Linked DNA regions of Macaca fascicularis. The protein of the gene in region 1 interacts with the protein of each later gene in a biochemical or structural test. Links are inferred from orthologs where the notes say so. Each region holds a gene or a part of one and is shown in the gene's direction. Other genes may lie near its edges.

What was found.
Region 2: the proteins of ANGPT1 (region 1) and TIE1 interact in a biophysical measurement, tested with the Homo sapiens proteins (2 studies listed by BioGRID and IntAct, with this or other methods). The link is inferred for Macaca fascicularis from reciprocal best matches to the Homo sapiens genes ANGPT1 and TIE1.
Region 3: the proteins of ANGPT1 (region 1) and TEK form a complex in vitro, tested with the Homo sapiens proteins (6 studies listed by BioGRID and IntAct, with this or other methods). The link is inferred for Macaca fascicularis from reciprocal best matches to the Homo sapiens genes ANGPT1 and TEK.

What each region holds. Positions count from the first base shown.
Region 1 is NC_088382.1:117,071,502-117,075,175, reverse strand, and holds the start of ANGPT1 (angiopoietin-1), read left to right. Parts: upstream 1-774; 5' UTR 775-1,133; coding exon 1,134-1,430; intron 1,431-3,674. UniProt on the Homo sapiens protein: Binds and activates TEK/TIE2 receptor by inducing its dimerization and tyrosine phosphorylation.
Region 2 is NC_088375.1:191,448,428-191,451,770, reverse strand, and holds the end of TIE1 (tyrosine-protein kinase receptor Tie-1), read left to right. Parts: intron 1-951; coding exon 952-992; intron 993-1,078; coding exon 1,079-1,175; intron 1,176-1,298; coding exon 1,299-1,398; intron 1,399-2,336; coding exon 2,337-2,408; 3' UTR 2,409-2,794; downstream 2,795-3,343. UniProt on the Homo sapiens protein: Transmembrane tyrosine-protein kinase that may modulate TEK/TIE2 activity and contribute to the regulation of angiogenesis.
Region 3 is NC_088389.1:71,763,586-71,767,241, reverse strand, and holds part of TEK (angiopoietin-1 receptor), read left to right. Parts: intron 1-2,687; coding exon 2,688-2,987; intron 2,988-3,656. UniProt on the Homo sapiens protein: Tyrosine-protein kinase that acts as a cell-surface receptor for ANGPT1, ANGPT2 and ANGPT4 and regulates angiogenesis, endothelial cell survival, proliferation, migration, adhesion and cell spreading, reorganization of the actin cytoskeleton, but also maintenance of vascular quiescence.

The sequences.
Region 1 (3,674 bases):
CACTGCTTTAAATTGTAGCCACATTGTTTTTGTAGGGAAGTTGCTCAGTTTATATACACGGAACACGAAGGGTTGCATTCTGATCAGGACACCAGTTTCATTTAAGACCCCTATACCAAAAGGTACTTAGATAATCCTCTTTAATATGCATATACTATATTGCTTTGTGCAACATATTGCTTTGAGCAACAAATGATGCTAATTTTCTTGCTACTTTGATCCTCTCTGATTATTTTCTTCAACTCCTAAAAGTCTAAGTGAATACGATGAAAGAATACCCCCTGTAAAAATTGTTATTTTACATATTTTTCCTCAGAGTCAAGAATACATGTTTTTAAAAGACATTTAATAATGATACGGGTTTATCATTCTCTATCAAAAATAATTTCATTGGACATCATGCCAATTTTCTTCTTAGGGTCCCTCGACTAAATAGTAACTTTAAAAACATACTGCTAGTTGGCTGTATTTTAGTAGGTCAGCATGCACACCAAAAGTGTATTAAGGTGGACTGCTCTATTTATTGATTTGCCATGAATCTGTTAAAGGCTCAAGGCAATTGTCTGCGGAAGGGGGCGGGAGGGCCATACATGATCGAGGTCATGCGCATCTAGCCAATTTGTAAGACGATCCTGCCGCCCTAAGCCATCAGCAATCCTTAGCATAGGGGCACACTCACGCATTCCTGTCAAGTCATCTTGTGAAAGGCTGCCTGCTTCCAGCTTGGCTTGGATGTGCAACCTTAATAAAACTCACTGAGGTCTGGAAGAAAATAGCAGATCTGAAGCAGATAGGGTAGAGGAAAGAGTCTAGAATATGTACACGCAGCTGACTCAGGCAGGCTCCACGCTGAACGGTCACACAGAGAGGAAACAATAAATCTCAGCTACTATGCAATAAATATCTCAAGTTTTAACGAAGGAAAATATCATTACAGTGAAATAAAAAATTTTAACATTTTAGAACAAAGCTAACAAATGGCTAGTTTTCTATCATTCTTCTTCAAACGCTTTCTTTGAGGGGGAGAGAGTCAAACAAACAAGCAGATTTACCTGAAATAAAGAACTAGTTTAGAGGTCAGAAGAAAGGAGCAAGTTTTGCGAGAGGCACGGAAGGAGAGTGCTGGCAGTACAATGACAGTTTTCCTTTCCTTTGCTTTCCTCGCTGCCATTCTGACTCACACAGGGTGCAGCAACCAGCGCCGAAGTCCAGAAAACAGTGGGAGAAGATATAACCGGATTCAACATGGGCAATGTGCCTATACTTTCATTCTTCCAGAACACGATGGGAACTGTCGTGAGAGTACGACAGACCAGTACAACACAAACGCTCTGCAGAGAGATGCTCCACACGTGGAACCGGATTTCTCTTCCCAGAAACTTCAACATCTGGAACATGTGATGGAAAATTATACTCAGTGGCTGCAAAAAGTAAGTGATTGCTTTCAGTTTCTAATAGCACGGAGCTTTTTCCGTTCTTGCACTGCAGCTAACTTAAAGTTCCTTAGGGGCGCATTTGTGTGTTTACCTTTTGCTCCAGGGGGGCAGTGTTTGCAATTGCAAGACGGCTGTCTGGGTTTGGCTTCCTGGGTAAGCCAAGGTTTGGGGGCTTGCGCAATCCTATGAATGTGTGGGGGCACCCCGTGTGTGTCTAGCCCTGGTAAATTTTATGACATTTCTGGTTTCTCTTGTTTAAAGTTCAGCATTAAGAGTCTTTCTGTCAAAACTCTACCTTAAGAAAGAAAGCATGTACCTCTTAAGCAAGTTGGTGAAAAATAAATAATCGTAATGACTATACTAATTAATAAGATCAAATCGATTTTGCACCAGAAAATTTTGTGCCACTGGGGTGGCAAATCATCACAAAGTATTTGTTTTTTTTTTTTTAACCTTTAGAAAAATTAACATGAAGTGAGAGTAAATGTAAAATATGATATTTGGTTGGAGAAATTGTATATTTATGTAAAGGGAACCGTTAATTTCAGCAAGTGGTAGAATAGTAGAGGACTGATTTCTGTTAAATATTTTTTCTTCTGTCCTTGAGAAAAAAAAATTTAAAAAGATACGTTGTAATGTGAACTGTCAGAAAGGGCTTGCTTGCTCACAATGAGAACACGCTGGCTGTTGAGGAAGACATGCACCTGCAGATTTGGGCTGAACGCAACATGTAGTCTCTACTATATTCCTGAAACACCTCCCTTCTCAGGGCATTGTAGTTACAGAGACAGTACCTGGCAAGTTTAAGTATCCATGTTATTTGATGAATGTTAATGTCGAGTATGAATGTAAACTCAATTTATAGAAATCAAATCAAATAGTTTATCCAGTTATTTATCTACAAACCATTTAAAAGTTTTTGTTGAAGATATGCCTATTAAATTATGAACACACTTCTGCAATTCATTCTGTCTTTGCACTCTGTTTAATAATAGGCAGCCGAGAATAAGTATATTCCACTGACTATGCCACTAGAATGGAGGCAATGTCCCAATTTGTGAAAAGCTTCTCTCCCTCGTTAATGGATTAACTTGGTACATATAAATAGGTATGCAATCAGGCTTCTTTAAGTTAGTCTGTAAACGAGGCAATCCCTTTAAAAAGATAAAAGATAGGGAAAGGACAAATGCTCTATTTTGTTCCTGTGTGATCACACTCGCTTAGGTCATCGCCTGCTGAATCATGCCAAGTAATAGTTATTCTACTTTTGTCCACTAGGGACTGAACTAAGATCACTGTTATTTTATTTGACACATTAACTGGAACTTAGTAGTTCTACAGTTTCCAAACCTGATATTGTAATCTTTCTATTACAGACTATAGGACTGTAATACGCAATCAGTAGGTAGGTAGAAGAATAAAAAGCAAACAGAACTCTCGGGTTTTTTTCAATTGTAGCTTAAATTTTAGGCACTACTTTCAATAGTAGTTTATAATAGGATGTTTGTATTTTTCTTTGGTAAAACTTATTTCCATTGTAAACAAATGATTTTGGTTGAATAGCTTGTTGTTATTCTTCAGTACACCATCCATATAGTTTTTAGTGAGAATCCAATCATATATTAGTCTGGATTCTTTGAGGGAATGGGGAGGAAAATTTAGTCCCAAGTTACCCCGAATGATCTATTCTACCAAAAACGTAATGTTTTGTTTGCTTAAAACGTATAATCAAAATAGTGATTCAAACATAGTAATGCATATGTCTTGTTGCTATGCAATTATTCAGCAGTGACAGGGTAAACACATAATTCTGCTGGACTTAAATCATGCACGTGTTTCATATGTTAATTTATTTTGCAAAATAAATTTGATTCTTGTTTGCATTGTTCTTGGTCAATGATTGTGGGATAGCTTTCAGATTATAGCCAAGAATAACTATTAAAATGTTCTTTGGTTACATTGACCCTTTCAAGTGTAAATATCAAGCTGAATATATGCTGAAAACGTCCCTATTGGTATGAGTCAGAGCAGTGTGGCTTGACTATTGTCAGTTTAAATTTGCATATCTTTTGTCGTTGTCAATGTGATTGGTTGGAGGATCAAGAAACCAAATAAATGCATTCAACAAAGAACTTGCTAAAGGCTTTCATAAGTTTCCCTTAATTAGGAGTTTTCTTCACTCCAAGTTCTAAAATTCATGTGATGTATTGATTCTGATAATAGAAATGGGAATCTTTT
Region 2 (3,343 bases), on another chromosome or scaffold:
TCTCAGTGCCTCAGTGTCTTCATCTGTAAAATGGCAAGAATAATAGAACCTGTATCATAGGGTTGGTGTGAGGGTTAAATGAATTAACATATCTGTTAAATGACCAGTGCCTGGACTACAGTAAGTGCTCAATGAAAATGTTAGCTTGGCTGGCTGTGGTGGCCCACGTGTGTAATCCCAGCACTATGGGAGGCCAGGCAGGCAAATCACTGGAGACCCAGAGTTTGAGACCAGCCTGGGCAAGATGGCAAGACCCTGTCTTTACTAAAAATACAAAACATGGCCGGGTGTGGTGGCTCACATCTGTAATCCCAGCACTTTGGGAGGCCAAGGCGGGCGGATCACGAAGTCAGGAGATTGAGACCATCCTGGTTAACACAGTGAAACCCCGTCTCTACTAAAAATACAAAAAGAAATTAGCCAGGCGTGGTGGCGGGCGCCTGTAGTCCCAGCTACTGGGGAGGCTGAGGCAGGAGAATGGTGTGAACCCGGGAGGCAGAGCTTGCAGTGAGCTGAGATCTCGCCACTGCATTCCAGCCTGGGCGACAGAGCAAGACTCTGTCTCATAAATAAATAAATAAATAAATAAATAAATAAATAAACAAAACATTAGCTGAGCATGGTGGCACATGCCAGCTATAAGGGAGACTGAGGCGGGAGGACCACTTGTTCCTGGGAGGTTGAGGCTGCAGTAAGCCACTGCACTCCAGCCTGGATGACAGGGTCTGTTTCAAGAAAAAAAAAAATTAGCTCTAATGGTGTTGAGCCCAGGGATGGGGGCAGTATGAAGGAGCTTCACTGGAGCAGAGACAACAGCTGGCCAAGGCCAGATACTTACAGAGTAGACACATACAGGGGGGCTGGGAGGTACTGCACATCTTGGGTAGGTAGAAACTAAACTGCTAGGGGCCAGGGCCTAGAAGGTAACTAAGTGCATCCTTCTTATTTCAGCTGGTCCTTTGGGGTCCTTCTCTGGGAGATAGTGAGCCTTGGTGAGTTCCTAACCCCCATTGCCCAGAGTGCCCCACCTTACCCCACGTGGAGCCCTGGACCAAGAGCACTTTGTCCCCTCCTGCAGGAGGTACACCCTACTGTGGGATGACCTGTGCCGAGCTCTACGAAAAGCTGCCCCAGGGCTACCGCATGGAGCAGCCTCGAAACTGTGACGATGAAGTGTGAGTCACCCCATCCTTGAGCTCCATGACCCTATCTCTGTGATGAGTGACCTCAACTTTGATCCCTGTGACCCCATCACCCCAGCTGGACTGACTCCTCATCTCAGCAATGCCCCCTCGCAGGTACGAGCTGATGCGTCAGTGCTGGCGGGACCGTCCCTATGAGCGACCCCCCTTTGCCCAGATTGCGCTGCAGCTAGGCCGCATGCTGGAAGCCAGGAAGGTGAGGAGACTGGGGCTGAGGTGGCGGGTTGGGCTCACAGAGTGCTCCAGAGTGCCCTCTCAGAGGTGCCGTGACCCTGTCCCAACCACACTACCTGCCCAAACTCCCTCACTGGGGGCTGTCACCACAGCTAGGCTGGGCCCCAAGATGCAGCCTGCCTTTCCAGCCCTCACTGGGTTAGACACCAGGCCCTTCCAAAACTCTTTCAAGGCCACTGCTTAGCCCCAGCAGCAAATCCCTCCCTTGAGTCCCAAGTCCCAGACTGCTTGCCTGTCCTCTGCTGAGGCCATCAGCCCATTCTCATCTGGGACACCTCTCCCTACCTGCCAGAGCCAGAGCAGAGTGCATGAATGGTCACTAACCAAATGGATGGATGGGTAAATGAGTGATACAGTAACTGTATGAATGAATGAATGAATGAATGGAATTAGTGGATAGATGATACAATAATCATATAAACATGTAATTCAATAACTGAATCTACTAACCATGTGAATAAGTGAATTATCAAATAAATATAATGAAAAATATATCAAAATTAGTAAATATGAAGAGTTCTTCAAGTAAATTAATGATTAACTATCTTAAGAATGAGGGAATGATCAAATAACCATATAAATGGGTGAGTCATCTAAAATGGCTTTTGAACAGATAAGTTACTTAATGAATGAATGCATAAGCCAAGAATTCACTGAAAGAGTGCATGTAAAAACCGTCCTCTAACAGTGGCATTGAGGGCCTCTCACCTGAGGCCCCAGCTGTGGCCTGATGCCTTCACTGCCCTGGGCTGGTAAAGGCCACTCTTGGCCATGGGGCCATCTTGAGTCTCCAGAACAAATCAGTGTCAGTTCAAATGCCCCAACCACATGGAAGTCAAAGAGCTTGCGGCCAGATTCATCCCTATTCCTGGCCCCCACTAAAGCTTGCTCTGCCCCTAGGCCTATGTGAACATGTCGCTGTTTGAGAACTTCACTTATGCGGGCATTGATGCCACAGCTGAGGAGGCCTGAGCTGCCATCCAGCCAGAACCTGGCTCTGCTGGCCAGAGCAAACTCTGCTGTCTAACCTGTGACCAGTCTGACCCTTACAGCCTCTGACTTAAGCTGCCTCAATGAATTTTTTTAACTTAAGGGAGAAAAAAAGGGATCTGGGGATGGGGTGGGCTTAGGGGAACTGGGTCCTCATGCTTTGTAGGTGTCTCATAGCTATCCTGGGCATCCTTCCTTCTAGTTCAGCTGCCCCACAGGTGTGCTTCCCATCCCACTCCTTCCCCAACACAAACCCCCACTCCAGCTCCTCTGCTTAAGCCAGCACTCATACCACTAACATGCCCTGTTCAGCTACTCCCACTCCCGGCCTGTCATTCAGAAAAAAATAAATGTTCTAATAAGCTCCATTCAATGTCTGCCTTTTACTGCTGGTCAATCTTGGGGTGAGGGGTGTAGTTAAACCCAAGAGACAGAAATTGGCCGGGCACGGTGGCTCATGCCTGTAATCCCAGCACTTTGGGAGGCCGAGGCGGGCAGATCACGAGGTCAGAAGATGGAGACCATCCTGGCTAATATGGTGAAACCCCATCTCTACTAAAAATGCAAAAAATTAGTTGGGCGAGGTGGCGGGCACCTGTAGTCCCAGCTACTCGGGAGGCTGAGGCAGGAGAATGGCGTGAACCCAGGAGGTGGAGCTTGCATTGAGCCGAGATAGCGCTACTGCACTCCAGCCTGGGCCACAGAACGAGACTGTCTCAAAAAAAAAAAAAAAGAAAAAAAGAAAAAAGAAACAATATATAGACATGGCCTCTACCTCGCTGGATCTTCAGACTTATACGGGAAACAAACATTAAAGTATACAAATTATTGTTTTTGGCAAACTTTTTTTTTTTTTTTGAGACAGTCTCGTTCTGTGGCCCAGGCTGGAGTGCAGTGGCGTGATCTCGGCTCACTGC
Region 3 (3,656 bases), on another chromosome or scaffold:
ATATTCATTTTGCATCTATTTCTGGGTGTTCTGTTCTCTTCCATTGATCTGTTTGTTCCGGCACAATTTCTAGCATATTCAAATTAACTAGAGACTTGTGAAATGTCAGTAACTGTGGGATGAATCACTGTTTCCTATTTCAAAATTGTCTTAGGTGCTCACTCACTATTCTATGTAAGTTTCATCCTCATTAGAATGATACACTCTCAAAATCACACTACCAGTATCATATTTATAGAATTAAACAAAAACTAGTTAATAGTTACTGGGAGTCAACTTGCCTTGGATGGTTGTATGAAGTTTGATGGAGGGTCAATGCTGGTGGTGGTAGTAGGGATGTGAGATTGGCAGGGTAGGATTTGATCCCTGTGGGGTCAGGAAATCTGAGGAAGGAGGATATGAATGAGAACATCTCATTTTTACCTGAAAATATTTGTTAATATGCTGTGTTGTCATTGGCTGATCATGTATATTCACAAGTAAAATTAATACTTCCAATTACAAAGTTTGTGTTGGTTTCCAGCCTAGCAATTCCATCTTGTCCAGGGGTAAGAAGTGGAGTGAATTAGATTTGGCATATCACCCCAATTATATGTTAAAAATAATATATGTGTGTTATGTTTTCCTATTGGAAAACATTTACATGGGGAGTATTTGACCCTTACAATGACTTTTTGAGGAAGGTAGAGTAAGAGTGATTATCACATTTAACAGATGAGGAACCTGAGGCACAGAAGAGGGTAAGTGACTTGCCCAAAATTATGGAACTAGTACGGCATGGGGATGGATTAGGATTCTAATCCACATTTTATTTCTATTTTTTTTGTTTTTTCTCCAACCACGCTACAAATGTCTTCCACTTGTCTCTTTGGATGGGCAACCCACTGCTTCAAAGCAACTATGGTTCTAGAGGTTCTTTAGTGGTGATATCCTATTTCTAAATTGTTTAAGGTCTGGTTAGTGTTTCCTAAAGCATTTTAGAAGCTATTTTAGAGTCACCCAGAGAACCTGCTAAAATGTAGATTGCTGGGTCCAGACCCACTGAATTTAAATCAAAGGTTTATTGAGCTATCCCTAAGAGTGACTCCTTTCAAGCATAAAATGGATAAGTTGGTAGATGCAAATTTATGATTTTTAGTTGGCACAAAAATTATATTCATTATTTTTCTAACAATCATCTAAAAGACACTGCTACTTTTTGTGACAGGCTTAGAAGACCACTGGTGTATGAAGTTAAATTTTTTTGAGCCACAACTATACAAATATAAATATGTGATGATAGTAATCTGAAAATGTTGGTATTTCTATCACCCCTTCAATCTCCTGTGGGAAGAAAGACTATTGTATATTTTTATAAAACTATACAAAATACTTGGTACTGGATGTAAAGAAAGTTAAGACATACTGATGATTAATTGTGATTTTTGGATACTGTACCACCTGCTAGACATAGAACATAACAATTAGATTTGGAAGGTTCTAAATCCAATACCTAATTCTCATAAATTGCCATAGTGCCCTAAAGAGTAACAAAGGGGAATCAACATAATGAAAAGAAGAAATTTAAAATAGAAAGGATGTACCTTGAGATACTTCTCAAAGGTTCTAATTTGTTTATAAGTAGTAACTTTCATGTGGAAAAACAATGGTGTATGGAATGAAATAGCCTACGTCTACTATTCACCTTTTGGGACGAGTACAAAACCCTTAAATTTTTGAAGTTTCAGTTTTCTCATCTCTAAAATGTGGATCATAAAAATCTCAGTACTGTGTGGTTATACAAGTCAAGAGAGTGTCTGCATGTGGAAGCACATTGTAAATAGCCTCATAAATGTAAGTTCAGTTACTATTAAGGACAAGAGCTCAAATCCATTCTTTTCCCGGATGAAATAGGCTTAACCTTTATCGGGTCATGAACTTCCCTTCTAGCCTGTGCCCTTTAGAGTTTGAGTGAGAATGTAGTGATGATGCGGTGCCTGCCATCTCCACATGTAGAAAACCTCAAGGCATCTCTTTCTCATCCTGCCTATGTCCCTGAATGGAATGTGATTCTACTTTTCCCCAAATCCCTATAATACTTTGTCTACTAAAAGTTATTAGCACATTTTCTCATGTATACACTGACCTGCCAGTTGCTCCATAAATTTAGGGCAAGGACAGACCACATGACACTAAGACTATGGACTACAGAGCCAGACTGCCAGGAGGTGAATCTTGTTTCTTCTACTTAACAGTAGTGTCACCATGGCTAAGTCACTTAATCTGTCCAGACCTCAGCACTTACAGAAAGACTGCTATGAAGAGGAAGTGAGTTAATATATACAAGAGCCTAGATCAATGCCTGCCATATTGTAAGCACTATATAAATGCCAGCCCTCATAAGCTTTCCATTCTTCCCAGCATCAAGAATAGTAAGCACAGGTTTGTGGAATAACAATTTCTAAGGCCTTCATTTAGTGTCAAGATGACTAATAGATGATATGTGTGTTGCCATTTCCCTGACTGTGCCACTCTTTCAAGTCTGCTTGGAGTCCAGTAGCCACTACCAATTGATTGGAATACGATCTGAGGAAACATCTGTTTGCCTTTCATGGTTTATGAGGGGACGTGAACCCTATCTCAAAAGCATAATGATCTAAGACATGGTAGTATATCTTAATTGAATCTTTTTTCTTTTTAATTTCTAGTTCTTCCTCCTCAACCAGAAAACATCAAGATTTCCAACATCACACACTCCTCGGCTGTGATTTCTTGGACAATATTGGATGGCTATTCTATTTCTTCTATTACTATCCGTTACAAGGTTCAAGGCAAGAATGAAGATCAGCACATTGATGTGAAGATAAAGAATGCCACCATCACTCAGTATCAGCTCAAGGGCCTAGAGCCTGAAACAGCTTACCAGGTGGACATTTTTGCAGAGAACAACATAGGGTCAAGCAACCCAGCCTTTTCTCATGAACTAGTGACCCTCCCAGAATCTGAAGGTTGGTTGAATGGACAGGTATTTATGTAGGATTATCGTGCAGCCCTCTAGGCAGCTGGTTTATCAGGACAGGCCTGTGAGATGAAAGCCTATGAAAGGTCGGTGGTTGAATGGATAGGCATTTACAGAGAGGTCCTTAATATCAAAATGCCTCTTAAAAGGATCCCTGTTGGTCCATTTTCTATTGTTAAACCTTAGAATAGATCAGTCTTTCAGCATACCCCATCCAGCAATCTAAGAAGAAAGCTCTAAGGAATATGAATTTTAATTCCAAGGAGAAGAATGTGGGAACTGCTTATAGAAGGCAGGCTGCGCAAGAGCTCCAGTAGGAGGCTCCAAGAACCATGTTTCATTCTTCCTCAAACACTCCTCTTTTAGCTTGGATGACACTGTGCAATTCTGAGTCTTCTTCTACTTTACTGATGCAGGTTATTAGGTCTCCATGTCCACCACTAAGCCCAACCCCAGAAAGAGTATGTTCTTTGAACTAGAGATCCTCTCAGGATGCCATACTGTGCCCATGGTTTGTGATTGATAAAGTCTGTTGAGTGTAATTAAGTGAACAAGGGCCCCATGTGGGTGGAGCTGCAGCAGGAGGATTGACTTCAAGTCTATGCAGAGGCACCTCCTGGCTCTCTGTGTTGTGTACAATGTGTGCCAGAGAATGTGG